Linked DNA regions of Astyanax mexicanus. The main gene of each other region encodes a partner of the protein of the gene in region 3 in a complex. Links are inferred from orthologs where the notes say so. Each region holds a gene or a part of one and is shown on either strand. Other genes may lie near its edges. The genes, in order: sf3a3, sf3b4, sf3a1 and sf3b3.

Region 1 (8,161 bases), on a different chromosome or scaffold from region 3:
GGATGTCTTTATTATCATTCCAGGCAAAATTAGTGATGTATCGTTCATTGTAAGGGCTTCTGTAATACTCTCAGTACTAAGCTTGGAGTGATGAACTCTCAAGAGTAGTATCCAGTTAAAATGTTAAAATGTTAAAAGTCTTTACTCTGCTTCACAAGAAGACATGTTAGTTGTACACATTCTACAAATAAGTGCTCGGACAACAAGGGAAAATATTAGGACCATTAAAGTTGACGCATGCAATCAGTACAACACAACACACAAAATCAATGTGTAAAACACAGTCTGTGCAGCTTAAAGTGTCTGGGTTACTTTCTTGCGTAAAGTAAGTTTCCACCTTTATCCTTCCCTTTTAAAATATGACTGGATCTGTTCTTAGGATTGACTTGCTATTAGCGCACTGGTTTTGCTGTATCTGTGGAGTATATTGACATTCGTCAGTAGATTTTAAGTTTGTATTTTTATATTTTGATGCTATATTAAATTATCAATAACTGGTTGTTTTTCTAAAGGATTGATCTGATTCTGTTCATCGTCTCTGAGTGAAACCATTTAACCTACTACAGTGTTTTGTGATAAAGTTCAGGGTTTATTCAGTATAATTCAGCACTAGAGGTAATGAGTGCTGCTCTCTGAATGCTGCTGGTGGTGAGCTGGAGTGTATTTTGTAATTCAGAACCAGGCTGCTCACTGATCCTGGAGCTGAACGCAGTGTTCCAACATCTACGTGCAAAGCCTTCCCAGAACTCAGAGTCTGTTACTGCTGCAAACGGGGCCAAACTCCTTTTTAATGCCCTTGATTTCAGAAAAAGAGGGAGTGAGCACATGTCTTCACACTATTGCACTAGTATTACAATACTATAACACAATGGTGCCTCCTTTCATGTTTTCCTCTCAGGGGAGCTGTTCAGAAAAGGGGGTTTGGGGGAGAAGCATCGTTTCATTCAAGGCAGAAATTTCCACAGAGGACATTATCGATTCTGGTTATCACATCACACCACTGTAATGCGGCGTCACCCGTAACAGCTTTGTTTGGGTTCTCTGGGGAAATGCTAAAATCCCCTGGAAATGACAAGATAGCAAAAAGGAATCATTGTTCATTTGTTCATTTTTCCATCTCTAATTCATTTAAACAAAGCTGATCTCACGTCTGTATTGATTTATTTTTGCGCACATCAGTTTTAAGCTGATACAGCATTGTTTCAACATTGTTTTAACATTATCGTTTTACTATATGTACTGTTTATAATAAACAGCATTTGCTTAAATCAAGTATGTTTGTATTATATAGTTCTTACAGCCTAAACTGTGCTCTTATATTGTAAAAAAAAGATGACATTTGAGGAGAGAACCTTTTGTCTAAAAGCATAATGGATTCAGAGAACCAACCATTGAAAGCCTTTAACTAAATAAACATTGGTTCAATGTCAGTTTTTTTTTTCAAGATGCCTGTGAGGTAATGTTCGATAAAGGTTGTTTTAAGGTTGTTTTTCCACCAAACGTGGAAAACATTAAAAAAATATAAAAACATGATGAAAGAAAACAATGTCTGTCTGATGTTATTTGCTGTCAGGCTTCAGCTCATGGCAATACTGTGAGTGTATAAAGTCTGGAACATTGTTAAGTGAACGTTGATTCAACGTCAGAATGTCAGCATTAACCGATGCCTGTGAGGCAATGACGAATAAAGGTTGTTTCAATGTAGTTTTTCTTCATTAAACTTTAAAATGATGTAATGATGATGTAATGTGACCAAAGAAAACAACGTTTGTTCAACGTTCTTTGCTGTCAGGGTTCAGCTCGTGGTTATACTGTGTGTGTAAACAGAAAGGAATCCATGACCAGTGTGAAATCCTGTGTCGCAGGGGACAAAACTCTCACACACACACACACACACACACACACACAATATAAAAACTATACACACACCTTCTCCCCGACATGTGGGTGTGATCGAATCTTCCTGATATCTTTTGTTGTGTGTTTATGTTTATGTGTTTTATGTGTGTGTGTTTGTGTGTGTGTGTGTATTTGTTATTATGTGTTTATGGATCTGTGTCGGTTGTTTAGCTGAACTCCGCTAACAGCTCTTCAGCCCCGCGGGTCTCCGGTACGCGGCCCGCCCCGCGGATTAAACACAACCCGCGGCTCACCTCACCGGATACAACCGGGAGCCACCTCGACCACCGGGGCCGGTCACCGCCGCTTTCTGCCGCCAACACCGATAACACGCAGATAATGTGTGGTTTTTGTTAGCTAATGCTAACCTAACTAACACACCTAACTCCGCGGACACCGAGCCGCAGCCGAACACCAGCGGCGTAGTTTCGCTATTTAACGGCCATAAAACCACAACAACCGCCCGCAGCCCTCCCCCACCGAGTCCCGCGGCTCCAACACCGAGCCCCGCGGCTCCCCCTCCACAGCCAGCCCAAACCCGCTCACCTGTCCGCCGCGCAGGGGCTGAGAGAGACGCGCTGGAGGGTCGGGCCGGGTCGGGCTGGGTTTTTCCGCGCGGAGAGACACTGAAGCTCGGCGGCGCTGCGCTCTCTGTCCCGCTCTCCTTCTCCTCCCACTACCGCTACTGCTGATCACCGACACACAACCGAGCGCGCGGTGAGACAGTGTGTGTGTGAGAGAGAGAGAGAGGGAGAGAGAGAGAGAGGGAGAGAGAGAGAGAGAGAGAGAGAGAGAGAGAGAGAGAGAGAGAGAGAGTGTGCGTGTGTGTAAGAGAAAGAAAGAGAGAGAAAGAATAAGAGAAAGAGAAGAGCTATAAAGAGAGAGAGAGAGATTAAGAAAAATGGAGATATATAAATAGAGAGATAAAGAGAGAGGGATATATAACGAGAGAGAGATAAAGAGAGAGAAATAGGGTAACATAAACAAAGAAAGATAAAGAGAGAGAGAAAAAAAGAAAGAGGGTGATATAAAAAGAGAGAGAAGGAAAGAAAGAGAAAAAGAGAAAGAGGGTGATATAAAGAGAGAGAAGGAAGGAAAGAGAAAACGAGAAAGAGGGTGATATAAAGAGAGAGAAGGAAATAAAGAGAAAAAGAGAAAGATAAAGTTGTTATTTTTTTAATTAATCATTTAGTCATGCCAATGAAGCTTCTTTGAATTGAATTGAATTAAAGAGAAATTAAGAGATATAAAGAGAGAGTGAGATAAGATAAATAAAGAGAATATTTTCACTAGTTTATCTATAGTTTATGGTCACAGCTCGATGTTAACCCAGATCCTGAAGCTGGAGTATTTCCAGTTGGTCTGTTCAGTTTATTTTATTAGTGTTTGAAATGTAAACTATTATAAGGCAGACAGGTTTTAACAGCTGAGCCTCCCCTTAAATCTGATCTGTTTTCCTATCTTTTCCTAATATCCTGCTCTTCCTCCTGGGATTTGTTGCAACATGTTGAAAAGTGCTTAACTGAGCGAAGTGCCTTCCTCCCTCTGTGATCTTTCTCACTCAGGAATTATGGGATTATTCTGCTTTCAGGTGGTTCTGTTTTTATCAGAAAAATGAGATTCACACCAGCAAGCTCTCAACATGAAAACTAGCAGTATTTAAATGCTTTTGAGATAACATTTAAAACTGACTTTGGTTCTGATTGGTTGTCCTGTATTGTGCCTACCTGTATAAAAAAGTTATTAAAAGTCCAAATAAAATTTTCTTTTATTAGTTTAGTGTGTTGGGCCAAACCACCATAGGTTGAGCATTTTCCCACACATTAGTGTTAGCTTGTGCTGAATGGCAAAACACTTAACTGAGAGAAGCACAAAAGTCATTATTTGAAAGTAATTACATCCCCCTCATCTGCTGACTTGCCGGACAGTAGGTACAGATCCCTCCCTCAGACGAAGTCTGCTGGCTAATACTGCGGTGTTCTGTCTGAGGTTCTCAACCAGCAGACCGAAATGGCATTTCTTTAACTGATCCAGTGGGCGGGGTTCTGGTGGGGGTTGATGGGTGAGGGGTGGAACCAGGGTGGTTTTATGCAGGTTTGGGAGGCTTTCAAACGGCTCATAAAAGGATATGAATTTTGCTCAAAAAAGATTGAACTAATTATTTTCCGCATATTATATCTTTAATCGTTCAATAGATTCAAAAGTTATACATGCAATTTTATGTATTTGTGGTATGTGTTCTAATTTAACTAAAGTGTCATCTCAAACCTTTCATACATGTGTTTATTTCCAGTCTCAGGCTGTTTGAAGGCCAAGCATGAAAAAATATAAAGTGGGAGTGGCTAAATGTAAAAACAAAAACAGATAGGATATGAGAAAGCTTTCCAACATTGTGTCATCATTGACAACAGTTTACCAGGTCTTGTACACACACAGTTTATCTCACTATCACGGGCAGCTAGAGGGCACCACATCACACTTCATCATGTTACTTCAGCTGTAAGAGAACCGTATCCAGCACTGCATCCAATTTACTCTACTATAAAGGGCAAAATTTAATGTATGCACAAAAATATAACGGATTGAAATCTAAAAAAAGGTTTTAAATTTTTCTTATTCAACGGTTCTGTAAAATACTTTGCTGCTTTCTTATAGTCCTTTCCTGCATTGAGGGTATTAATTAGTTGGTAAAAACCTATCTACAGATAAACACATATCACTGTATACTATACATAATATTTATAACAAATATGTGAGAAATATGGATTAGAATCTATCAGATAAAAAAGGCAGTGTAATGAAAAATAAAACAATGTGCAAGAGGTACAGATATCAGCAGACAATGAGAATGTTTATTACTGAATAAACATGGGCATATATAGGTATTTAGTACTTTTGTGTTGTGTTTTTGCGGCGCGGCGGAGGCGGAACGTTTCGGTCGGTTTACCGGCGGGAGTGAGTGAGCGGCGGACCGGGACCGGGGGTCGTGTCGTTACACGCGCGTCCGCTAGTTTAGCCGGTTTCAGTAGCAGCGCTGCGCTCAGTCCGGTAACAGCCCACAGTCCGCCGGTAAATCCCGGGATTCGGGCGATTTATTTAATCATGGAGACGATTTTAGAGCAGCAGCGCCGCTACCATGAGGAGCTGGAGCGACTGATGGACGCTAAAACTAAGGAGATGCTGCACAAGAAAACCACGGTAATTACAGCTAACCGGCTATCTGTGCTAACGGTGCTAATGCTAATCCTCTGTGTGTTTGAATGGAGAAGAGTAGCTACTTGCTAATTAGCTCCAGCTAACCTAGCCTTAGCATGCTAACAGAGCTCACTCAGGAGATGTCTGTGTAAAATAAAGTATATTTCAGTGTAAAATCTGATCAACTGAGGAAAATAAACAGCACTAGTTTGGATATTTAACTTTTATAGACATTTGAATTCTATATGTTTAACGTAATTGTCGTTAGTTTGTAGTTTTTTTGGTGCTAGCTAAGCGAAGCTAGCAAAATATCCATCTATCGTTAGTTAGCTTAGTGTAGCTTTATAAACACATCAGTTATTGTTCTGATTCAAGAATTTATTAAGATTTAGGATTCAAGATTTTTATTGTCAAGTCACAGAGAACATGTGTACAGGCAAAGAACAATATTTACAACAGAGTAGAATAATAAAACAAAAGTAAAATATACTGTAAACTTAAACTTGTTTATCTGTTTATTTATTCATCTCTTTCAGTTGCGTGACCAGATTAATTCCGACCATCGAATACGAGCAATGCTGGACGTAAGTTTCTTTTACTTCTGTATTATTAAAACCTATGCCTACATTTATTTATATCATTTATTTATATCTATATGCATGTCTGCTCTTGTTTTCTTTACACACAGAGACATATGGAAGTAAGCGGAAACCTGAGAGACTCCTACGATGATAAAGATGGGTAAGAACTGCTTGTTTTTCTCTGACTGCAGTTTATTTCACTGATACTAAACAGTGTTGTTCATCATAACTTGTAATTACGTCTTGTTAGTATGCGGAAGGAAGAGCTGAGCGCGATATCTGGACCAAATGAGTTTGCTGAATTCTATAACCGACTGAAACAGATCAAGGAATTTCACAGGAAACATCCTAATGAGGTACTGCAGTCTATCTTTTAAATTTAAATAAAATTACATGATTGCTGTACATTATCTTAGGGTGTGAATTACAGTTTAAAACCTTTTTACACATTTCTTTAATTTCACAGATTTGTGTGCCCATGTCGGTGGAGTTTGAGGAGCTGGTGAAGGCCAGAGATAACCCCAGTGAGGAAGCTCAAAGTAAGTAAATATTAACATTGCTTCTGTAAAACTTGCTGTGTTTATATTTATTACTCTAAATCACAGTAACTATTCTGACAGTACAAAGGATATAGTCAATATTTCTGCATTAGTAACTACATGAGTCATAAAGACACATTTAAAACACACAGAGAGTGTGTACTTTAAAGAATGAATAAAGAAAATGAATAAGAAGTCGCACTGTACCTCTGTAAACCATTAAGAAACATTATTATATATTTATGTATGTATGGGCGCATGTATCCTTTAACCAGCCCGAATCACGGCTTATGTTTTAACATCACTGTGTTTCTGTGTTGTGCAGATCTGGTGGAGTTCACTGATGAAGAAGGCTACGGACGCTATTTAGATCTTCATGACTGTTATTTGAAATACATCAACCTGAAAGGAGCTGAGGTATGATTTTCACTTTTTCTGTTTTTAACAGATATATATTATCTGTTTGTTTGCTAATGTGATGTTTTCCTCTGTTCCTGTTTTAGAAATTGGAGTATATCTCCTACTTGTCTTCGTTTGATCAGCTTTTTGACATCTCCAAAGATAGAAAGAATGCAGAGTACAAAAAGTAAGTCGAATTTCACATGGGAACATTGTGACCATATGTTGTGTCGTATATTACAGTGTTTATTTTATTTAATAGATTATAGATGGCTATTATTACATTGAACAATACTAATAAATGTTTATATGTGTATGTGTATTTATTTTATATACTGTATACAGTGGATGTCTTTAAATTTAAGACCATTTCTACCTGTAAGCAGTGGAGGTATCCTGTACTGAGCTTGTTTTGTGTTGGTCAGGTATCTGGAGATGCTGCTGGAGTACCTGCAGGATTACACAGACCGGGTGAAGCCTCTGCTGGATCAGAATGAGCTGTATGGAAAAGTTCTGGTTGAGTTTGAGAAGAAGTGGGAGAACGGAACCTTCCCGGGCTGGCCGGTGGGTTTATTTTTATAATGTGTTTGTTATAATAAAAAAAGTTTAATTCCACAGTAATTTAAGGTTAAAATTAAATTAACCCGAAACACAACAACATCTCATCATGAGTTTACAGCGTTACAGCAAATATTATCTGCTATTATTTGGGATTCTTATTTTTGGCGAAACAGACAGTTCAGAACCAGCAGGTCTCCTGTTCTGAGATCAGAGCGCTGATAAACAGCTGCAGATTGAATAATTACTACTGAATTAAACACAGATTTTTAGAGCAGACACGCCCACTCTAACCTCAACTGACCAATCAGCTTCTTTAAACAAAAAATATATATGTATATATATTTTTTTCTTTATCCATATCGCCCAGTCCTATACCAAATCATAAAAGAACATGTCAGATTTTGTCAAAGGAAAATGAGATAAAATGATTGAATGAGTTAGTGGAGTGAATAGATGCAGTACTGAGTAATGCTATGCTATGAAGCCGGAAGCCCAGTGAACCAGTTTGTGTAAATGTAAAGGAATAAGATTATATAGTTAGTTGTTTATTTGCGTCTCTGTGTGAAACAGAAAGAAGCGAGCAGCGCTCTGACCCACGCTGGAGCTCATCTGGACCTCTCTGCTTTCTCCTCCTGGGAGGTAAGACTTTCCATCAGGAACGCACACAGCTTTAATAGCTTTAATAGTTCATTGCCCCCTGAGGACTTTCATGAAGTGATCTTTAATGTTATCGCCCAGGATTAAACCAAAACGTTAAAGTACCAACTATTATTACCTATACAGGATCTAATACAGGTTATTGTGAATGATGAAGTTCCACAGGGTTCAGTTGTAGGATCTATAAAACTGTAAGGAAATGAAGTGTGAAAGTGAAGCTTAAATACAAGGTTAACCAGGTTAAACACTAAACACAAACAAACCTGATGCTGTAAAAACTTTTAAAATTGTAATGTTTTTGTGATGCATGCATTAAATGTCCTGTGGTGA
Region 2 (7,935 bases), on a different chromosome or scaffold from region 3:
GAAAAAAATTGGTAGTGTTTAGAAATTGAACAATGGCTCATCCAATCAGGCTTGAGAAGACTTTATTTTCCAATACTGAATTCGTGATTTACTGCTGACACAGACCAACATTAAAAAAAAAAAAAAAAACTATAAAATAATTTTTTTTTCATGACTTTAAACATACCCATGGGTGGTCCAAATGGTCCTCTGGGGGGCATGCCCATCTGTGGAGGAGGAGGCATGCCTGGTGGAGGCGGTGCCCGAGTGGTACCAGGGGGGCCAGGGGGTGGTGGCACCATACCTGGTGGTCCAGTAGGGGGCATTGGCATAGGTGGCATACCTGCCAAAATAAAGGTCATTAATACAAGATTTCAAACACAGCAGTGAACAGAAACATATACATCCTAAAATAAAAACGCGAGTAGTTGAATAAAAGTCTCGCCTAGTAAAGCAAAGTTTATAAATGGTGCTTTTACCTGGAGGGTGCATTCCAGCAGGTGGGAAGGGCGGTGGTCCTGGGGGAGGTCCTGTAGCACCGCCCTGAGGGGAAGGTGTCCCTGGAGCAAGGGGCATGGGCATGCCAGGGGGCATTCCAGGTGGCATTGAGCCTGGGGGTGGCACAGGGGGGAATGCGCCAGGAGGAGGCATGCCTGCATGAGTTAAATAAGGAGTTAGAGAAAGAGAACAAACAATCAGATCTACTTTCATAAGGTTTTTAATCCCCACAACATCCCTGTATCAGTGCAGGTGTGTGCTTAACATAAAGATGTTACAGGATCAGATCAGAATTATTATTATTATTTTTTTTTCCACTGAAATCCTTTACAGAATTTCTACTGATAAGTCAAACATCAATCCATACACACCCACTCCCACCGATATCTCTATTTCCCATTTTCTCATTCTTGCCCTACCATCCCCACCCTCCATACCTTTTATACCCATTACACCGAACCCAAGGTGCAGTGCTGCAATTTGTATCACATAACTCATTTGTTCATAAATTAAGAAAAATATATATTAGAAATCCAAGTAATAACTGACCTGGAATGGGAATGGCTGCTCCCAGTGTGGTCATTACAGGCGTAGGTGCAGTGGGAGGGGGCGGGGCATCTGCAAACAGCTGATGTGGCCTATCAGCCTGCGAGAGAGGGTTCTGTGCAGCCAGGAGACGCTCGGCTGCTGAGCCGTGCCTCTCACCTTTGGAATCCTTCTTAAAGGCGTAAGAGACTGTGATGGGTCGATTACAGAGGTACTGGCCATTCATGGCTTCAATTGCAGCATCAGAGGCATCAAAACTGGCAAAGTTGATAAAAGCGTAACCCTTGGAGTTGCCTGTGTCCGGGTCACGCATAATCTTGGGTGTCTGAAGGATGACGCCGAAAGCACTGAAAGTATCATAAAGCAGCTTCTCGTCGATTTCGGGGTCCAAGTTCCCGATGAAGATGTTGGCACCCACGTCTAAGTTCTTGTTGTGTGCTGAAGCTTTGTTGACTCGTATTGGTTTACCATACAGCTTGATCATGTTCATGATCTTTATGGCATAATCAGCATCTTCCTCACTGAGGAACTCCACAAAGCCATAACCTATTGAATATATCACAGAACATGTAAATGAACAAGTTTGACATCATTTGCATATGCAGGTTAAATGTGTGGTTAGACCACACATGAATATTAGCTCCAGAACAACACCTTCCAAAAAATAGTGCACAGGATGGCACTAAAAATTATTCAGGAGAGCAAATGTTTGCACTTTATAAATGGTTATAAACAGTTAATCGGGAGACCACTTGCTGGTTGAAATATGACTGGAAGTTTTCCTAAAGCTTAGAACAGATTTATAGATAAAGTCACACCTTTCAACATAGAACCAATCAGCTTGTTGGTAACACCAGGAGAGGCGTACTGTTAATAAATTTCAAACAACTGATGACATGGCTGTAGAAAATTACACAAATACATTCAAGTTTTGGACAGATGCCTTTCAGTTTGGGATGGTTGTGAAAGAAGTTCACAATAATAGGAATGCAGATATTTTATAATTTATTAGGCACAAAGCAAAAAAAAAAAAAAAAAAAAAGAGAGAGAATAATGAATAAGACAATGAGAATGCACCAGCATTAAGCATTTTGGAGTGGAGCAGTGTGGAGCTCCTTAAATCACTCACTGCAATACACTCATATACTAATATAATTAATAATTATAAAAATGCACATAAATCATTATAATAATGCAATACATGGTTAATATGTCACTGTCTTTGTAAAGAATATATTTTGACTTGAAGCAATAAACATGCTTTTTAATGTAGTTAAATTGTAATGTTCAAGTACAACTTTCCCAAAAGACAACCATATAATTAAATTAATGTGCTGACACTTGGGTGAATTACTTCTACAGCTGTAAAACATATATAGACAATATGGCAGTAATACAATTCGTAAAAGAAAAACCTAGTCTGTTTGCTGCTTACTGTGCCCTGTTAAGCAGCAATTTCTTTTGGGAGTGATTAAAATACCACCTACCACTAATTATTTACTACATAATCAATTTTTTGGCAGCCACGCATCAGTCTGGTGTAGTGTTTGACATTTTTTGTGCAACCCACAAGCTGTGTGTCAGAGTGCTGTACTCACCCTGATGTTGCCCTGTGACTCTGTCTTTGGGCATGTGTGTGTTGACCACTGGTCCAGCTTGCAGGAAGAGTTCCCACAACAGCGGCTCCGAAACCTTTTCATCCAGACCGCCTACATATACCGTAGCATCTATGACAACAAAAAACAGGAAAACCACTTGTTTAGAAAAAATATATTATTTACATTAATGAATGGATTGTAACTATGAGCTTAAACTGGCTTCTTTCAGAAGTTCTATTTTAAAGTAATGCACTGAAGAGACAAATCAAATAACCCAAAAAAATCTGATCATTTGTTTGCTAAGTTAAATATTTAACTAACGTTAAATAGTTTGCACGGAAACAAAACACAGCGTTAGCATTAGCTAGCTTTAGCGAAGAATCAATGAATGAACTGCTAAGCTTTCCCGAGAACCATCCAGCAGATCTAGCGGTTAATAAAATAAACCAGAACCCGTATGGCTATATAACCACAGAGTTACACATTTCCATTTCTATTTATTTTTATTTCCATTCTCATCAGTATACTTTACAGTATACAACTTTACCTGGTTAACGTTAGTCTGTTTAAGAGTGAGTAAAGAGCTGCACTGTGACATAAAGAGCACGAGCTCCGAGAGTGTGATCATCACTCAGAGACAGAACCCAGCAGTCAGTAAAGAACGCGTGTCCTGTATCTATTAAAACACATTCAGACCGATATTTAATAAGATCTCTAACATCAGTAAGAGTTTTTTATTCATTTTCTTACCCTGGTTTCTTTCTGATATCGGACCCGCCGCCATGATGAACGACGCGCTGGCGGAAAAACGGAAGTTTGCGGGTGATCCTCTTCCGCTGCTAACACGTTTAAAAGTCCTTTTACTTTATAGATGTTCATCGTTTTAAAATAATTTACTAAATATAATTACAATAAATAGTTTCACCACACGAACAGGACTTTCTGACAGACATACACAAAAATAAATTTTAGTAAACAAAAGCTTTAATAAATATAATATTTTTACAGTGCTGCAATAAACATGGCTGCTGCAAACAGTGAGAATTAAGTTTATATTTTATTATACACAATGCACATTAGTAAAATCTGCCATTTCGTAAAATTATTTCTTTTTAAGCAGCTAATTATATTATTATATTGCCTGCTAGGAAAAAATACAGCATTTTTATTATAATAAAAAAGACACATATATTTGTTTATATACAGTTATATATATATATATATATATATATATATATATATATATATATATATATATATATATATATATATATATATATATATTTCATTTTTTTTGATGTCTCAAGCTTTGGTTCAAAGGGCTAAATATAGTTACTTTTACTTAAATCAAAGTTTATTAAATTAGTATTTTGCCTGTGTAAATGAAACTGTAACACAGATGGAATGCATTAGCATTGCCCACAGGGGACTAAATGATAGGCATGTTGAGGTGAGTAAATACGACTATATATGTATATGTTCCAAGTCCAGGTCCGGGGGTACCTTCCTGAAATAAATTTTTGCAACTTGGGAAGTCTGGGAATGTGGCCTTTATATATAACAATCAGTAAACACACTCATACACACTACCAAGCAAACACACACAGTAAACACTGAGATTACATAGCCAGAGTAAATGGCAGCAGTTTAGAGGCCAAACCTGCCCTAAAGATTTTTCTTACACCCTCATTAGATCCAGTGCTAAAGCAGTCCACATCCAAAGAGCATGTGACAGTAATAGTAACCATGCTTTTAACTGAGCAACTGCACTGTCAAAGTTTTTTTTTTTTTTTCGAAAGACACACTCAAAAAAAAAAAAATCAGCCTTCAAGGTAATAAAAAAATAAGAACAAATTCACATTTGACCTGTGATTGCAAATACTATTGCTTGTATCTTAGCTTGATCTGAACCTTTTATTAGTGGACAGATATTTTTTTTTTTACCAAATGCCAACTTTGGTCAAAAGTGTCTCTTTATAGAATTGTTTTTAATTTTATGTCAGTTTCATAATTCACAACTTACCTCTAGAGCCCTCTATTACAACCTTAGCCCCCTTGGCTAAAAAAAATCTACACAAAATAAATAAATAGTTCTCACTTCTCTGTAGACTGCAATGCAGTTTATAGAAACATCTAGATTTGCATGTGCATCAACCTGTGGTGAATTACATTATACAATTAATATTTATGTTCAATATTGTGATGAACCTAGTGTACCTCTAACTTTTCAGTGGGTAATTATACAGTCTGAGGACACACCTACATGTACTGATAAAAACAGAGCAAGGGCTGAATGGATGTGATTTTGTCACTCCCATAGACATTGTGTGGCGGCTGGTTTAACCTGTTTCTCCAGCTGCTCCACTATCTAAGTTTTGGAACTCAAGGAAGCCACTGCTAGTATGGAATATAACCTGTGACCAGAAAACTGATGGTTTAACCAGCCTGGAGATTCTATACATTTACAGGCACTGATAACTAACATTAGTTTACTGTGAATAGTACAAATGGGGACAGATTTAGGCTACAACTTTGTTTTTAAAGGTAAGACAGCTGATTCTGAGCTTGAACTCTAAATATTTTATCCAGAACTGCATCACTGCTTTTAGTTTAAAGATTTGTTTTGTTAGTTTATTTTGGGTTTATGTTTAGTTTACTATTATTACCTAAGGGATGGGGTTTTCCTCTTTTGGATTTTCTTTTATTGTCTTTAAAATAAATGCTACATTTGAACACTTTTCAGTTTAAAGAAATTGCAATTGTGATTATCCATAAATATTGTTTTTATAATTAATTTCTTCTTTCTCTCTCTCACTCTTTAGTGGTGTTAATTGGGGAATCTGGGGTGGGAAAGAGCAATCTGCTGTCCAGATTCACCAAAAATGAGTTTAATCATGACAGTCGCACCACCATTGGAGTGGAATTCAGTACGCGTACTATTCAGCTGGACACAGTGACCATCAAAGCACAGATTTGGGACACAGCTGGGCTGGAGCGGTACCGGGCCATCACATCAGCGTAAGTACACAACGGTCACAAAAGGCACATTTCCTCTCAATCTTAGAAAATAAATAAATTGGACTGTCTAAGCAATCTCTGAAGCAAACTGTGTGTACAAAAAATATGTTTTATTAACTAAAAATGTAACTAACTAACTGCAAACATGCCAACAGGTCCAAACTCTTATAACATAATAACATTATTCATTCATTCATTCATTCATTTATCTCTTTATCTAGATTGAATGCCCAGCATTGCAATATTGCTTGTGATATAATGACTGTAAACATTTCATTTGCAAATAATTCCTGACAGTTTGTCAGTATATTACCCAAAAAATACACACTTGCAAACATGTATTCATAAAGAGTATAAACACTACACAATAAAGTCTACACAATCTTTTTTTACGTAAATACCATTTATATATTTGTACTTGCTGTCCTGGCATTAATAACAATTTAACCTACATTAGGCTATAAAGGGACTGACATTAAAACTCAGTAATAATCTAGATCTCCAAAACACTAGGTCCTCAGTAATTTAACATGTAACATTTTATCTCCAGTAATCCAACTCTAGGTTCTTAGTAATATACCGTAGGTTTACAGCAATAACTATAGGTTCTCAGTAATCTAACATGTTATTTCTCAGTAATAACACCAGGTCTTTGGTAATCTAACATGTTGCACAGTAGTCTAACATAGTTTTACAGCAGTGACACTATAGGTACTATAGGTAGTAATCTACCACTGGGTCTTTAGTTGTACGTTTTCTCTATCATAATGCATCATAAGACTAAATAACTTTACACTATGATTTAGTTACCTGGAATTAAGATCTGAACAGGCTCTTTGGTAGTAATCTATTGTGGTCTCACAAGCAAGACACTTTATTTATTTCTGCTCCAGCACCACATGCTTTAGCGTAGGTGTAAAGCTGTAATATTTTGTATGTATAGGTATTACAGGGGAGCAGTGGGGGCACTCCTGGTTTACGACATTACCAAGCACCTCACATACGAGTATGTAGAGCGATGGCTAAAGGAACTATATGACCATGCAGATCCACACATGGTGGTCATGCTGGTGGGCAACAAGAGTGACCTGGATATGCAGCGCACCATTCCAACAGAAGAAGCTAAAAGTTTTGCAGGTGAATAAACTCTCAGTTCTATAGAAAACAAAGCATAGCTATTTTGATTGCGTATATACATGTATTTGCAATAGAGGAAATATAGATATTGCACAGTTCCCTTTTTTACAAAGTGTCTGTGAGAGATACAAGGTTTTTTCAGAGCTATACAATAGTGATGTACAGCTCTGGAAAAAATAAGAGACCCCTTAAAAATTATGATTTTTTTTAGATTTTACCAAATTGAAAATCTCTGTAATATAATCAAGAGAATATGGATGATCACAAGCCATCAAACCAAACTGAACTGCTTGAATTTTTGCACCAGGAGTGGCATAAAGTTATCAAAAAGCAGTGTGTAAGACTGGTGGAGGAGAACATGCTAAGATGCATGAATCCTTAGTTTATAGAATAAAACAACAATGTTCATTTTACTCAAACATAAACCTATAAATAGCACAATCAGAGAAACTGATTTAGAAACTGAAGTGATCTCTTATTTTTTCCAGATCTGTATTTAACATATTTAACATTTCATGTTATTTACTAAATAATACTGAACAATTAATAAAGGGCACTACATAATTTATAGTAGATGCTGAATACTTCACTTTGGATACTGGATAATTTGTAATCTATTATAAATATTCAATGTAATACATATTATTGCAATAATAATTCATAGTGGATAGTGAATAAATCATAGAAGATCATTTATAGTGAATAATAAATTGTTTATTAAAGATGCAGAATAATTCATAGTGGACATAAAAAAAATCACAGTACTAAGTACTAACATATATCAGATTTGTGAAGTACTTATATGACAGGAAATAATTGTAGACTAATTTGAGGTGTTTCTTTTAATGCAGAGAGTAAAGACCTGCTGTTTATGGAGACGTCAGCACTCGAATCAACCAATGTGGAAAATGCCTTCCTTCAGGTTCTAACAGGTGGGGTTATCTAGTACTGCTTAATATGAAGGTTTTGACTAGTTTAGAGTGAATAATGTAATTAGCATCATATGTAGCTGCTGTAAAGTAAAAATATATCTCTCTGCACTCATTCAAAATTGTTTAATAATTAAATATACAACCATAACCATAACCAATTACATTCAAAGTACTCCAGATTAAAAAATTAGACTAAAGGTTTAAAATCACCCTTGACAAAGATAGTA
Region 3 (7,645 bases):
TGCCTCTCTCTCTCCTCGGTCAGAGACTGGTACTGAGACTGCACAAAAACAGGAGGGTTTAAATGCACTGATCTGTGTAGTGGTAGTAATTCAGCTGCATTTTAGAATGCCATAATAGATTATAGTCAGCAATTTTATCATTATATTACATTAATTCTAAATAAACCAAAATAGTAAAATAAAACAGTGTGTCTCTCTCCTGCATGTGTGTGTGTGTAAGTACCTTTTGCTTTGTGATCTGTTCCTGCAGTGTGTCTCTCTCCTGTGTGGTGTGTGTGAGTGTGTGTGTCAGCTCTGTCCTTTCGTCTTCACACTCTTCCAAACGAGTCTGCAGATCCTCACACTGCTGCACTAACGCATCCACACGCTCCAGCAGAGCATGCTGCTTTACCTGCATTGCCTATATCACACACACAAACATATACGCACACATTTTATCATTATCATTTTATATATGTGTATGTGGACAAAGTATTGGAACATACACTCATTCATTATTGCTTCTGAAAATGAAGGTATTACATACTGTCCAGGGAAGGCTTTACGCTAGTTTGTGGAGCATTACTGTGAGTATTTGACAGCATTCAGCATCAAGAGTGTTAATGAGTTCAGGATGGACCTCATTTCCCTAACTCATCCCAAAAGTACTGGATGGAGCACCATTGTTGCAGAGATCTCGGTTTCTGTACTCCACAGCACAAAGCTGGAAGCTTTATAACCTTCTAGCTCATGCCTGGCACTAGGCACAGTGTCAAAAGCTTCATGCTTATCTGCTCCGGAGAGTCCTATTCTATTGGCAGTACTTGTCGACAGAGACTAGACCAACTGTGTGCATGCATGTGCACATTTGTGTCAGCAATAGATGCAAATTAAAGTACATGAATGTTGACAGGTGTCCACAAACATTTGAACATATATTATGTATACCGTGTATACAACTGCATTTGAGTTCTTACAGTTCAGCTCTTTTGGCAAGAACTGTGTTACTGATAATTACACACCTCATGCTGACGTTGTGCACTGCGGTATTTGGCGCTCTCCTTGTCCAGCAGTGTTTGAATGTTACTGAGCTCCGTCTCTAACTCTCTCCTGCTCTCCTGATACTCTCTCTTCCTCTCCTCTTCCTGCAGATGCAGACGGTGCACCTCCTCCACCAGAGAATCCCTCTCACACTCTGCACAGAGAAACGGGTTGTTAACACATGGCCACATACACACAACACGCACAACACATTTAAAAGTCCTTTTAGCGTCCTTCACCATACTCACACATTAAACTGGTGCTCGAAAAAATATCCAGACATCTGTTATACCAATGTCTACACTTATGGAAAACTATTACATTAGATCTTTAACATTGTTGTGAGGAGGATGTGATTGCATTACTCAATTGCAAAAGTGATAATGTCAGTGAAGTCAAGTACAGAAGTTATATGATTAATACTGCCTCTTAAAAGTATTGGATTGAGCTCTATCACTCCAGAAAAATTCTGGGGAGATTTATACTCCTTTAGCTCCCTCAGTGTTGGGCATCGTGACCTTAGGGTTATGTGCTTAAAGCTATTATGAAGTGCCAGGTTCTGTTGACCACTGCTTTTCTATGGAGGTTCTGTTGTGTCTGGATACTTTTGGACATGTAGAGAACGTATACATACAATGTGTGTTGCTGGGGTGTTACTGCTAGATTAAGAGAATGTCCACCACCCAAAAATATCTAGTTACAAGTGGCTCTGCATTTAGAAACTGATAAGGCCTGTACACACTGCTCACAGGTGTGCTACAGCCTCTTCAAAGGGTTTCTGATAAAGTGGACAGTAAGTTGTACTCATTGTTTGCTTACGGAGACACTGCTGTGTTTCTCTTTGCAGCTCCAGCTCTCTGCTCAGCTCTGATACTCTTATTTCTAAAGCTTTTGCTCCTAAAAAAAAAGAAAGAAAATTACCTGCAGGTTTTGGTTGTAAAATAGATAGATAACTAGATAGATATTTTATTGAAAAATGACTGTAATTTATTTAAAATTTAGTGCTCTGACCTCTCTTTATCTCCTCTTGCTCCTCCTGTAGCTTCCTCTGCATCACCTCTCCTCTGGTCTTCAGCTCCTGCAGCTGGCGCTCCCACTCCTCTTCCCTGCTCATCCTCTCCTCTCTTTCTCTCTCTGCTCTCTCCTTCTCTTGCTCCAGCTGAGCCCTCAGCTTCCCTCTCTGCTCTTCTGCTTTTTTCAGTTTGTTTCTAAGTGAATCCACTGTTTCTTTCACCTCCAATTCAAAACAAACTGGTCACATTAGTATTTGTATTAACTTTCGATTAAGTTTCGATTAAGATAAATGAAAATTATGAATATAAACAAACAGTTAAGTCTAAAATTATCTAATTTAGTTTTAACACTGAAGCTACAAGGCTAATGAAACATGTTATTTGCTCCAACTAGAAAATCATAAGACATTTCAGAGGTGTGTTATATAAATGGAAAATAACAGAAAAGCAAGAATAGTAATAGTAACACATTTTATCTGTTGAACTGTGATTACTGTGACCAACACCTGATCACCTCACCTCAGTAATGTGTTGTTCAATGCGCCCCATATCTTTACGCTGCTCACATGCCCACTGAGCCAAGTCACTTGCAGTGAGACGCCCCAGCTGCTCCGTGTCCTCCACAGCCATCAGCAGGTGCTGCAGGAAGGAGTTCACACCCAGAGCCCGGCACAGAGACAAGCACGCCTCTGCACTCTCCTTCAGACTGGACTGAACGCGGGCACAGGCTGTACACGGCACCAGTGCAGACTCCACTGTCTGAACGCTCACACTGCGGGACTCAGAGGCAGGGGCAGGGGGAGCTGTCCTGCTGGGGCTGGAGGAGGCTGGGCGTTGGTTCTGTAGTTTGGAGGCTGGGGTGCTCAGGGCACTTCTAGCAGTGGATGAAGTGATGTCAGTTTGTGAGATGCTGTGCTGAGGAGCAGATGGAGAACGCTGGCTGTTTTTACTAGTTGTTCTCTAAAATAAAGAAAAAGAAACTCTGCTCATATTTGACATAAAACATTTAAATCATAAAATCAGATTTGCCCCAATATTGGAAACAATAATACTTTGTAGTAATAAGCTTTAATAAATGCAAACTTAACTTAACAATATCTGATTATTTGTTACTTACTTGCAGTGCTGTCATTGTTGTTACATAATTATACTTTGAATTCCCTTTAATTCCCTTTTAACCATAAAAAGCTCATTGATAACTTTTTATGAGTTAGTTATTATTAAGTAATTTTAATGTAATTAATAATGACATTATTTTAAATTATTATAAAAAAAATATATTAAACTGCGTATTACCACATGAAGTCAGCATGTTAGTTGGACCTGATGCACTATGTTAACAGTATATACACATTTCATATGTTACCCCTTGTTGCTGCTGGCTGCTAAGCCGGACGAGGTTGGTCCAATAGCGTTTCACCACTGGCCCGATGGACACCCCTTGCCCAGTTTTGCCAGAATGGCCTCTCTGATCTCCCATCATCATCTCTGTGTAGATGTTAAAACTCTGCAGCAGTAGCATCAGTCTGTAACAGACAAGTAAACACACACTTCTTAGACTTATTAAAACTTTTTAACACTTATTAAAAAGCTCAATAACATGGCATATTATAACATTCTGATTATGTGTTAGTGTGTTCAGCTTGGGTTGATTGCTTGTGATCATCCATCTTTCTTATGATTATATTCCAGAGATTTTCAATTTGGTAAAATCATCATTGGGAAATTTTAAGTGGTCTCTCTTTTTTTTCCAGAGGTGTATTTTAAATGATTGGCACAATAACACAAATCTAAGTGTACTCTATTTTAATTGAAATACCCACTAGCAAATAAATAGTGTAAAAAACGAAAAGGTGTGATTCATCACAAATTTCTATTGTTTTTCTTTTATTGATTATCTTCTTTTATTGAAATCACTAATTAATATAAATTGCATTATTTGATTTGCATTTTAAAAATGCATTACTGTCAGACGCCCACCTACCTGTCAATCACCAGCTCCAGCAAGACGATGTGTGAGTGCTGGTTGAACTCAGGCTCTCCCTCAGTATAGTCATATTCCTGCAGGAGCTGCACCAGGTCCACATTACACGATACCTTATCGGGGAATTTCCACGATGGAACGCGGACCGGCCCGGTTCGAGAAAACACGTCCAGAACCGCCGCCTGCAGGTCGATAACGTCCCTGCGGAGACTCTCCACGCAGTCCTGGCGTCCTAACAGATGCGTCATCCTCCCATTCAGCTTTCTGAAAGCGCAGAAACACTTTAAACTTCTTTATTTTTCAACAATACTGTGTGCTTCCTCTGTTTCCTCCGTCACCGTGGCTACCTGTAGTCCTAACGCCACTCTAAGAAACTACACTTCCCATAGTGACCCGCAGTCCGTGTCCCGGATGTGATCGTGTTTTTCTGCAGGCCGCCTACCCCGGTTTGATGGCGGAGTGCGCACGTTAATTATCGAAGGTTTTTTTGTTTTTAAACTCAATAAATGAGTGTTTCAGCTGAACAAAAGAGATCTGTGTGGTAAACAGGGTGGTATTGAGGACGGAAGGTTGTGTGTGAGTGTGATTTTCTCTAATCCCAGCCCAGTTTGAAGAGGCAGCCATGCCGCCTGTTCAGATCAGCCAGCCCGAGCCCAACAACAAGGTGAGCCAACAGCGACTTTACTGTTTGTATAGTGATTTTCCCATTAATTCCTTCATAGTTCTTTCGTTAGGTATTAATGTGTGTGAAAAGTAGTGCTTTGCCAGCTAACGTTAAGTCTAACTGTTTAGCTATCTAGGTTAATTAACGCTATAGACTTTAAGACTAACTTAGCTTTTACTTCGTTAGACAACTGTCTCATTTTTTATTGTGTTAAGTTTGAATTTGCTAATAAATAAAGTAATAATTATTGTTTATTTCTGTGTTTGGCTGCAGTTTGCTTTTAAATCTAAAAACAAGCGCAGAGAAATACTATTAAAGGCATAATATATGTTTATGTACTAACAGCTGACGTTGGTTTAGCTTTTCTAGCTAAGCATTTTAGCTATGTTAGCTAAACTAGCTAGCTAACGAACTAGTTTAGTCGGGACCAGGTAAAAAGCGGAATCCGGCGAAAACAGTGGATACGTTAGCTATTTAATGGGTATTTCGAGCTCTCTATTAGAGTAGTCACAAAATCAATGAAAGAGTTGTGTTTTACACGTTAGCTAATCATCTTATGTAGCGTTAACTTAGTTAAGTAACTAACAAGATTGGTACACCACGTTATTGCAGGATTCTACATTTGAATTGAATTGAATTGAAATGAATTGAAAATGTTTCTACTGTCAAGAGTATGTAGAATATAAAACGTTAATGCTTTGATTAGTATTGGATTTATAGTGTTAAGCCAAGAATTTAAATTATTAAACTGAATGACAATTCCCCTGGTTTTCCAGTTGAACAGATAAAACATTTAACATTTCGGTGTTTTAAAGTTTTAAAACGGGCTATACTGCAGTATACGTGCACCATGACTTTTTTTTAGGGTGTTCTATGTTACATAACCCGTCCTGTATAAACGATTCCACACCCAGGACCGATTGTGGGCTTGTCTGGGTGACGAGGACAATTTTTTTCCCAAGCTGTGGATCGATGTGCAATTCCAATTGTCCTTTTCTGATATTTATATAAACATAAACCATTCCAACACCTTTCTCTCTCTCTCTCTCTCTCTCTCTCTCTCTCTCTCTCTGTCTCATTCTCTATATAAATAATAATTTTTTTTCTTCTGTTTTGCAGGGCGATGAACAGAAAGATGAGACGCCGGCAACTAAGCCCATTGTGGGAATCATTTACCCACCACCTGAAGTCCGAAATATCGTTGACAAGACTGCGAGCTTCGTAGCCAGGTCTGGTGCACTGTCTGTTTCATATTATCTGATGTATTGTGCCATGGTTTTCACTTTACTTAATGCTTAAAATTTAAAGCCACTGAATCGGACAAGTTATTAAACAGATATGAGCCTTTTCCACACTGTACAGAGGTGCGACTACAAAGTATAATGAAAGGTTAACTTAACAAACACTTTTTGTGTAATATATGTATGCAGGTAAATTCTTCACAACATTGCTTGTACCTTACTGAACCCATGTCATCCACAGGAACGGCCCAGAGTTTGAAGCAAGGATTCGGCAGAATGAGATCAACAACCCAAAGTTTAATTTTCTCAACCCTAATGATCCTTACCATGCTTACTACCGCCACAAAGTTAATGAGTTCAAAGAAGGAAAAGGCCAGGAGCCATCGGCGGCGGTGCCTAAGGTTATGCAGCAACAGTCCCTGCAGCAATCCCAACAGCAGCTTCCACAGAAGGTAAGTTTCCAGCATCTGAATGTAGAGTATCCAATACTTTTCCTGTATTTATTTGTCTATAAAATCTTTATAACATGTAAAATTTTGTTTGTTCCAGTGTTGTAATTTTCCCTATTTGTCAATATTTCTTCAGGTCCAAGCCCAGGTGATCCATGAGACAATTGTGCCGAAGGAGCCTCCTCCAGAGTTTGAGTTCATCGCTGATCCTCCCTCCATCTCAGCCTTTGACCTAGATGTTGTGAAGCTGACAGCTCAGTTTGTCGCCCGCAATGGCCGTCAGTTTCTCACACAGCTGATGCAGAAAGAACAGAGGAACTACCAGTTTGACTTTTTGAGGCCTCAGCACAGCCTCTTCAACTATTTCACCAAACTGGTGGAACAGTACACAAAGGTAGATTGATGAGACCATCTGTAATAACTCTAAGTTTTCAAATGGTTGTAAGTTTTGTTGTAACTTTTAAAAATGTTCTAAATGAATGAATTTTGTTTGTGTATTGTTTAATTGTGAAGTGTTTTGTGCTCACTCTGAGGTTTGTGTGTGTTTTTTTTTTTTAAATAAAGGTTTTGATTCCTCCAAAAGGACTTCTGCAGAAACTCAAAAGGGAGGCTGAGAATCCACGGGAGGTTCTGGATCAGGTAAGACTTATTCATTCCATAAAATCTAATCTCCGATAAACAAGATGTCACAATACATATTGTGTAGAGGCAAGAAAAAAATGGTATTCAGGAGTTATTTTTGAAGAATAATGATATTTTAATGACACACTGTTTATTTCTGTTTAAATTGTTGTTCTTGCACATAGAGTACACCATGAAGGCCTTACTGATTTATAATATTTGCTTCTGTTGTTTCAGGTGCGGTACAGGGTGGAATGGGCCAAGTTCCAGGAGCGAGAAAGGAAGAAAGAGGAAGAGGAGAGAGAGAGAGAGCGTGTGGCTTATGCTCAGATTGACTGGCATGACTTTGTTGTTGTGGAGACAGTTGACTTCCAGCCCAATGAGCAAGGTAAATGTGTCCAGATTAAGTGAATAAACTAGATTAACTGAAGCAGTTTCAGGTACACTGTATGTACTGTAAATAAGACATTTTACAGTCAGTTAACTGTAGCAGTGTACACAGAAAATGCAAATGTCAAAGGATAGGAACTAGTGTTGTGTCCCATAAATTTTGCTGTGGCCCATGGAACCTGAATAAAGACTACATACCCTGGTATAACTAAACTAATAAAAAAATAAATTAAATAAAAAAGCCAATACTGGTACTAAATGAA
Region 4 (7,899 bases), on a different chromosome or scaffold from region 3:
TCACTACCAGAAGTGACACACACTCAACCAGAAATCAGAAAAGTGTTTTCTGAACCAGTCATGAAACCAGGAGACTAAGGAAAGGGGGAAGGGGGTCATATCATGAATTACCTGTGATGAGGAAGTTGCCATGTTCTTCTAGAGCCTCACTGTACTTGCGCACAACATGGTTGAGTCCCAGGTCAAGCTCATAGAAGGTCAGAGTCTGCTGTGTGTTGGCTGCTGCCTCTCCTGTGGGGTCATTATCAGCTTCCTAAACAAGACAAGGGTGCAGTACAAAACAGTAATGAGAAGAACGCTTCATGTTTTATGCAGTTGACAATACTGTGTACTTTCAGTGATCAGAGGTTTTTTTTACATTCTCTCCAGTAATTGGTCAGAGAAGAGACATGAACAAACTCATCATTTCAATAAAACACCACAGATCTACCTTTGAAAACACACATACAGGTGATCTTTATTCCTACGCCAGTGCGTACATTAACAAGTCCTCAAAAACAGAAGCGTGAAGAGAATCACACCACAAAAAGTTAAGTCCTCAAGTAGTAGTAGTCATCTTACCTCATAGTCCATCTCAAGGCAGGCAAACATGGGGTTCTCAAAGCCCACATCCACCCCAACCACATGGTAGACCAGGGTGTTGGCCTTGTGTGCTTCCAACGGAGAGGAGATGGTGAGACGAGCTGCAGCATCTCTGTTCAAGATATACACCAACTTCTGCTTCTCTATGGCACCTGTGGGGATGATAAACAATACAACTCAGACGCATGAACATTCCATTCACTGCTCGTAAAGAGAAATGGTGATTCACAATGCAATGACCTTGAAGTGTAAATAGTTATGAAATCAAAATTGCAGCACATAATCTATACATTAATATAAGTCAAACTTTGCACAAATCTAAACTTAAGTGGAATCCTTCTATCCTCAATGTTTTGTTTCACACAATTAAACTGCTCACAGATAATAACATGTGAATCAGGAGTGATATCTTAAGTGAGCCTGAAATACATAAATTTACAAGGTACTTGCAATCCACACTTTCTGTAGCATTGTATTTTCCAATCACATTTAAAAAGCATGTTTAAGACAGTGTTGTGGCCTTTATCCCTTAGTTTGAGCTTATATCAAAGTGCATCAAAAGTGCAGTGTTAGACTAGCTGTTAGTGTACATACTAACAATGCCACAGGGCTTCTTCAAACCCAAGACAGATAAAACAACCACCTTAAATATAAAACACTTAGCAAAGAACCAGAATTTTACCTATCATTACAGCTCTGCCTTTAGGGTCCACAGCCAGGAATTGCCCGGGAACGATGCGTCTACATCCGCTCTTGCCAAAAGTCTCCTGGTGCACCTTTTCAAACATGTTCTTTGAAGGATGGTACTCCAGGATAACAATACGTCCCGAGTCACTTCCCACCACGATGTAGTCTTAAAATTAAGAGACACAGTCCAATAAACAAACCATTTTTTTTTATTACATTGAATAAACCACACATCAGCAATTTACCTGATCAGTAATTTTACATTTAGTTTCGCAAGCAACTTTAACAAGATCTTACGGCTGGTTTACCCAAAATTATATTGAACTGTAAACAAACTAACTCAGTTTCAACATTCACACTAACCTTTCGTGCCACCAGTGAGCCTGAAGGCCATGAGGGAGCGGACGATGCCAAACACCTCCATGGTGAGCAATGTGTGAACCTTGCCTGTGTTGGCATCAGGACGCAGCAGCTCTAGAATCTTTCCCCGGGAAACCACAATCTCTTGCAGTTTCGTACCTAGAGACAAAGAACGTCATACAGTTAATTGCAAGCAAAGTGTTTGATGTGGATTTGCTTAAGCTAACAGTGCTACTTCCACCCCCTTCTGGAGAAACTATTAAACTAAACTACAGGTGAACAGTTACATTAAATTAAGGATTTAAAGGTTATTTATTTGATAAAGGGCATTTATTTCCAATTATAAAATATGTACCCCTAGTAGTTTGAAAAAGTTCCTTAGTTTTTTTTTTTTTTACCATTGCTAAATGTAATTATATAGAAACTTCCCATTTTTCAAATTCTTGGTACATTTAAAAAAAAAATGTTTGCTTTAAAAGAAGTTTTAAAAACCTAAAAATCAATAAAAACAAAAAAAAAAAAAAAGACAGAAATGGGGGTCTCAAACTCTCTCAATTAATAAGATCAACATCTTAACATACCAGTACAGTCTTTTTTTTAATAAGCAAATGGTAAGTGCCTCCCATTAAATATTTACTAGAACTCAGGGATATGTTTATTAGTGAAAGTAAGAGCATTTCTACATGCACAATGTGAAGGAAACTCAAGGGATTAGGATTAAACTGTGTAACCACTCATCAGTGAGGTTAACTGGCAAAGACTCTGGAGCAACAGAAAAAGGCCATGTGGTCTGATGAATCCAGATTTCCCCCTTTTCCAGAGTGAGGTGCACATTAAGGTAAGAGAGAGACACCCATCAGGTCTAGTGCCCACAATGCAAGCCTGTGGGGGCAGGGCTACACCTCTAGAGTTAAACATTACAAATCACATATTTAACATGGAAAAACGAAGACCGTATACCTGAAAAGTTCCCATGGATGGCATGAGTGATGCCAGTGGCACGTTGTAATGTCAGGTTGTACAGAAACATGGTGGATGTCTCTGGGCCCCCTCAGGCTTGGATGAAGAAAGTTACTGCTGCACCTGAAACCCAGAAAGAGGCCTCATGTGAGATCAACAGAAGAAAGCAGTGCACACGTTCTGGGCTGCAAACAGAGAAATTTTGAAAGCTAATAAAGTCTTGTTTTTCTCCAGATGTAATCTACCTAACGTGCCTAATTGATCAGGTTTAAAAAAAATAAACTAAAAGTAGCTAACCTACTGTTACTAGGGGCACAGCTGGCTAGCTAGTTATCTATGTAAACTACAAGCTTGCTAGCATTAGCTAGCTAAACCACCTCAAATGAATGGGTTAGCTCGCTTAGCCGCTAGTCAGAATGTTGGTTTATTAAACTAAATGTATATACTTTACCCATAAAATACCCACAACACGTAAAAACTGCACGTATATTAGGTTAACGTGTCTTTATACTGCAGTATTATTAAACTCCGCGCTGTTAATAACAGCCTGAAACCCCGGTTACCCGCTCAGCCTCTGCTAGCAAGTGAAGCTAACGCAGAATTCTGAGATAACTTGATATTAAACCGCATCATGACACATATATGGCTATAATATCGCCGTTTAACTGGCGCTGGCGGTGTATGCCAGGGTTTTACCGTTTCAGCAGGCAGGATGGTGCAGATTTTCACCCGATGAGAAACTTTTTGTTCGTTCGGCGTTTTGTGTTCAAACGCCGCTCGAACGACGGGGGTCCTTCCTGCTGTTAGCCCTGTGTCATAGTCGCCCTGCCATTTGCCTGCTGAAAAGTCCAGCCCGCTACAAGCCTTACAAAATTCATATTTCAGATTTATTTAAAAGACAAAAAATGCTTTAAAAATCCTTAAAAAATAATAAATTAATTAATAAAACAATTAGCCACATATAAAGTATCAGTCAAAGGCTTGGACACACCTTTTCTCTTTAAATATATATTTTTGTTTTTAAATTATTCTTTACATTGTAAATGTAATATTTAAGACATACGCTATACAGGATTTTGTTGTAAACAAAACATGTGAAACAAACCAGAATATGTTTTATACTTTTTTTTGTTTACTACGCAATTCCATATGTGTCCCTTAATTCGTTTGATAGATTTAATGTTACTCTACAATGTAGAAAATAAATTAAATAAAGAAGTAAAGAAAAACTTTAAATGAGAAGGTGTGTCCAAATTTGGAAATTAATTCAGTTTCTTCTCCCCATTGACACAACCCTTTTTTAAAACCTCTCTCCTTCAGCAGTTCCCACAGATCACTGAACACTGAGAGTACTAGTAGCAATTTCTCACCAAAAAGCTGAGTCTTTTTTCTTAGTCCATAGCTTGTCCTGTTTATCTTTGTATACTAATTACACCCTGCTTCATACCATTGCTAACATTGCTCACTACATGTTTCATTCCTGTACTTGTTGTTTGTTACTGTGGTTTACTGTGCAAACATGGGTCAAATCATCTAAACACTGCAAATGTGTTAACAAGCTGTGGTACTGTGAGAAAAATAAGTGTTACTACTGACCATGCAGAGTGCATTGAGCCCTTTCATTTTTTACCTGTAAAATATGGAAATTACTCATATTTTTTGAAAGATTAAATAAATGTGCCTAATAACATAAGTTTTCTGTGTAGCACAGTATAATTATATGGGGCATTTGTGAATTAGCCTTCAGCTTAGGCTTTATTAAAAATAATTTTCAAACATTTCAATTATTTTTACACATATGATCTGTTCACATCACCTGTTTTAAATCACATTATTAAATAAGGTTTCTTCTTCCTAGGCATGAAATGCAGGAATGGATGTATATAGAAATGAAATAAAGGTGACCAGATAAAACATTAAATATATTGGGTTCATACTGCTTGTCATATTGTCATGCTAAAATAAAAAGTAAATGAGAGAACATGGCATTTTCCATACTGTCCCAACATCTAATTTGATGCTGTTCATTTTGTTAAATTACACAGTTTTACTTATACCTTATAGAATAATAGAATAAATAGATTTTTTTTTTTTACTTTTTTAGGCTGGCTGTGAGCATGGCAGACTTTTGAATGTGTGAACACTTAACACACCAAAATAAGTGCTAGTATATGCATGGTTTAAATAATGGATTTATATTATACTTATGCTGTAACTCATAATAAAATTGACTAGTTTTTTTTAATTAAAATTTCACTTGTAACTTTAATGCTAAATGAGAATATGAACCACTGCATGCCGTTACTTAAACTTGATCCATCTAGCTCTCCAACTGAGAATTATTTTTTCTGAACCATCAAAAAAACAATAATGGAAAAACTGAATGGTCTCTCTTTTGAAGGGACATTGTTTCATACCCTTTAGTTTGTTCCTATTGAAATGGTTTAGTAAATTATATAAGATGAAAAGCCATTTACCTCAGAATTCAAACACAAAAAAAGACTATAAATATTATACAAACTGAAAGGTGTGACCACACATTCACACTCTTATTCTTAAATGTTTTATACATGTATATATACATATATTATTTTATTGTTTACTTAATAAATTTGCTTTATAAACTTTGCTCTCTTTTTAACTGTCACAATGAGACAAGGCTCTGGAGGTTGTTTGTACTTTTCCAGGAATCAGGTCAGAGTGTTTTCATCAACAATGAGAGCTGTGAGGAGAACATGACCCTGAGTGGCAGAGAAGCTTCACTGCTGTTCTGAGACCAGTGTATATAAACTAGGAGACAACACAAAGCTGAGCAACACCATGATAAGAACGTGTTGCCCAGACAGGCTGGAACTGATCATGTCATAGGAACTGGAAAACAAGCTGTTAACTGGACACTGCTGACGTAGGGATATTGATAGATTCTATCCAATTTTATTGGACCCTATTGATTAACATGCAATTTGCAAACACGTATAACTGCTTGGATGAAGTCTGTGTTGGGTTAGGGGAGGAGACGCCCAAGGGTCTTCACTCCCTCGCCTGGCTTTCTCTTTCCTTTTTTCCTTCTTTCTCTGGGTTATGAATGTGCTGACCTATTGAGATATAATTATACTATGTGTTGACTCGTTGATGTACTTTTACTCTTTTCTAATGTACCTATTTATCTATGTTTATTCTTTATATCTGTAATGCTGAAACTCTGAAACTATTTTTTACAGTAAACTTTAATATATTTTAAATTCTAAACTTTGACTCAATGGTCATCTTTTTAAATTCTGGGATATTTTTTTAAATCAGAGTTTTATCTGCGTAATGCTGTGGTTAATTGCCCTACAATACTATGCCTTTAATACAGTTGTATTGTCATAGTTAATTATAGTTCTTGTTTTCTATGTTCTTACTTCATTTATTATTCAAAATTAACCATAGACCATAGATGTACTCACATATAGTATGAGGTTACCCAATAAAAATAGTTATAGAACAGGAGACCCTCGTCCACGCGATGGCGCCATTGCATATGTAAACTCTCCCTGCTGTTTAATGGAATTTCAATGTGGAGATTGGAGGAGGGTGATGGAAATCAAGCGACCGAGAAATCAGTTTAGGCTAGCCTCGGCCTGTCCAGCCCACAGTGGAAAATGAGCTGTGCTGATTATGTTACCAGTTACACGACTATGAGGCGATTTTTTCTATCAAAACATGTCCAGAACAACGAAAAAGCAGATTCAGTTTTTACATTCAGAGCTATTAGCCCGCTGTAATCAATCTGCTCGCTATGTCCTGAATAGCCAGCGTGCTCTCTTTATTCAGTTAGCTGGCGAAACCCTGGAGCTCTAACTCAAGCCTGTCCAAAAGGAGATAGATGTGAGGAATTCCCAGTTTCCCACAATCTTTACCTTTACAACACTTTTGCCTTCTTTTGCCAGCTTACAGGTAATTGTGTTGCATTCTAAATGTGTCTAAATGCGTGTAAACGTGAATGCGTGCAATGACACGCTGAAAACCGCGTCGTGAGACAAATCAGTGCCCTATCACAGAGCTCAGTGGTCTTCAATGAAGACCCTCCGTTGTTCGTAGGGCATTATGGGATTTGTCGTTTCAAAACAGTGTATGCCTCCGCGCTGGTTTGGTATGAAAAACACTTCTGAGTTACATTGCTCTCGAATTGTAAAATTAAAGCTATTTCAGGGCGCATTATATTGAATCGGCTTTTGATTTAATAGAGAGTTCGTCAACATTGGTGGTGCAGTGAGTGGCTCAGAACTACATTTCCCAGCAGCCCCCTCGGTAAGTTTGGGGAATGCAGGCTGAGGGTATCTTTTTCGGGGGTGCTGTGAAAGCAGTGCTGTCTGAGAGATTCAGGGACTATTTTCTCCACGTTGAATTAGCTAGAGGCCGACACACACATATATACACACATATACACATACACACACTTAGCCTTAGCTTGTCAGAGCTGCAAAACAGACAGGACAGCACATTCCCATCACATCTGGACAGGGCGAGCAGGACCAGGCTGGACATGAAACCTCGCCTACCAGCTGAGGATCCATGTGAAGAATATTATTATTCATATGGCAGCAGCTGAGTCTTTCTTTATCTGCCGCTTCAGACTGGAGGACTGGAGCGATTCAGGACTGATGGGAGAGGAGGAGGAGCAGGGGCTGTGATTTCCAGGCTGAGCCCAGCAGCAGCTCAAAGCTGTGTTTGAAGAAACGAGAAGAAGGAGGAGAAGAAGAGTTTTGCATCCCAGACACGAAGGTAAGGGACCGGATTCTCATAAACTGACCCCCTCTTTCTCTCTGTGTGAGTGCTGTGTGTATAAATGCGCTGATTCAGAGGATGAACCTGAGGAAGATGTTCCTGACATGCCTGATATTCTTCTTCATGATCACTGATATGGTCATTATCAGAGGGTTGCTGTGTCCAGGCTGTCTGCAGTGCTGCTGCATGAAGCCCACTCTATCCTCTGCTCTTTGTATCCCCCCTGTGTAATTTATGTGGGGGTCTCGGGCCCTGAACTCCCGCCGGTGTGCCAGCGTTGCTAAGAGACAGCGGGGCTGCAGCACAGGATAGTGGAGATTTGCATGGTGCTGCTGCTGCTGCTGAAAGTGGAGGTCTTTCTCTCTCTCTCTCTCTCTCTCTCTCTCTCTCTCTCTCTCTCTCTCTCTCTCTCTCTCTTTCTCTCTTTCTTTTTCTTACTTGCATTTTCTTTTTTTTACTTCTCAATTCTTTTATTTCTTTATTGCTTCTTTATTGCTTTATTGTCATAACCACATAAGATACTTACATTGCATATAATTG

What was found.
Region 1: the proteins of sf3a1 (region 3) and sf3a3 are in contact, whole or in part, in an NMR structure (PDB 2DT7), measured with the Homo sapiens proteins. The link is inferred for Astyanax mexicanus from reciprocal best matches to the Homo sapiens genes SF3A1 and SF3A3. Residues at the interface, in NP_005868.1 of Homo sapiens: Ala161, Phe162, Asp165, Val166, Leu169, Thr170, Phe173, Asn177, Phe181, Gln184, Leu185, Lys188, Phe195; in NP_006793.1 of Homo sapiens: Glu80, Phe81, Glu83, Phe84, Tyr85, Arg87, Leu88, Ile91, Lys92, His95.
Region 2: sf3a1 (region 3) and sf3b4 share a complex: the UniProt entries of both Homo sapiens proteins name them as parts of the 17S U2 SnRNP complex. The link is inferred for Astyanax mexicanus from reciprocal best matches to the Homo sapiens genes SF3A1 and SF3B4.
Region 4: sf3a1 (region 3) and sf3b3 share a complex: the UniProt entries of both Homo sapiens proteins name them as parts of the 17S U2 SnRNP complex. The link is inferred for Astyanax mexicanus from reciprocal best matches to the Homo sapiens genes SF3A1 and SF3B3.

The regions. Positions count from the first base shown.
Region 1 is NC_064410.1:278,761-286,921, reverse strand, and holds the start of sf3a3 (splicing factor 3A subunit 3), read left to right. Parts: upstream 1-4,873; 5' UTR 4,874-5,001; coding exon 5,002-5,097; intron 5,098-5,630; coding exon 5,631-5,678; intron 5,679-5,782; coding exon 5,783-5,835; intron 5,836-5,925; coding exon 5,926-6,031; intron 6,032-6,141; coding exon 6,142-6,214; intron 6,215-6,539; coding exon 6,540-6,631; intron 6,632-6,717; coding exon 6,718-6,800; intron 6,801-7,038; coding exon 7,039-7,177; intron 7,178-7,744; coding exon 7,745-7,813; intron 7,814-8,161. UniProt on the Homo sapiens protein: Component of the 17S U2 SnRNP complex of the spliceosome, a large ribonucleoprotein complex that removes introns from transcribed pre-mRNAs.
Region 2 is NC_064410.1:32,706,729-32,714,663, reverse strand, and holds the start of sf3b4 (splicing factor 3B subunit 4), read right to left. Parts: upstream 3,471-7,935; 5' UTR 3,406-3,470; coding exon 3,372-3,405; intron 2,751-3,371; coding exon 2,622-2,750; intron 1,570-2,621; coding exon 1,027-1,569; intron 633-1,026; coding exon 459-632; intron 323-458; coding exon 167-322; intron 1-166. Other genes in the region: rab25a (ras-related protein Rab-25a), read left to right, coding at 5,129-5,165, 5,444-5,639, 6,583-6,776, 7,628-7,708. UniProt on the Homo sapiens protein: Component of the 17S U2 SnRNP complex of the spliceosome, a large ribonucleoprotein complex that removes introns from transcribed pre-mRNAs.
Region 3 is NC_064419.1:31,893,354-31,900,998, forward strand, and holds the start of sf3a1 (splicing factor 3A subunit 1), read left to right. Parts: upstream 1-4,415; 5' UTR 4,416-4,639; coding exon 4,640-4,681; intron 4,682-5,800; coding exon 5,801-5,910; intron 5,911-6,163; coding exon 6,164-6,374; intron 6,375-6,507; coding exon 6,508-6,765; intron 6,766-6,935; coding exon 6,936-7,010; intron 7,011-7,229; coding exon 7,230-7,380; intron 7,381-7,645. Other genes in the region: ccdc157 (coiled-coil domain-containing protein 157), read right to left, coding at 1-38, 224-400, 1,002-1,174, 1,840-1,917, 2,032-2,254, 2,553-2,993, 3,400-3,559, 4,018-4,265. UniProt on the Homo sapiens protein: Component of the 17S U2 SnRNP complex of the spliceosome, a large ribonucleoprotein complex that removes introns from transcribed pre-mRNAs.
Region 4 is NC_064416.1:23,362,758-23,370,656, forward strand, and holds the start of sf3b3 (splicing factor 3B subunit 3), read right to left. Parts: upstream 3,410-7,899; 5' UTR 3,286-3,409; intron 2,713-3,285; 5' UTR 2,660-2,712; coding exon 2,590-2,659; intron 1,789-2,589; coding exon 1,633-1,788; intron 1,436-1,632; coding exon 1,265-1,435; intron 735-1,264; coding exon 562-734; intron 416-561; exon of another isoform or gene 334-415; intron 254-333; coding exon 112-253; intron 3-111; exon of another isoform or gene 1-2. UniProt on the Homo sapiens protein: Component of the 17S U2 SnRNP complex of the spliceosome, a large ribonucleoprotein complex that removes introns from transcribed pre-mRNAs.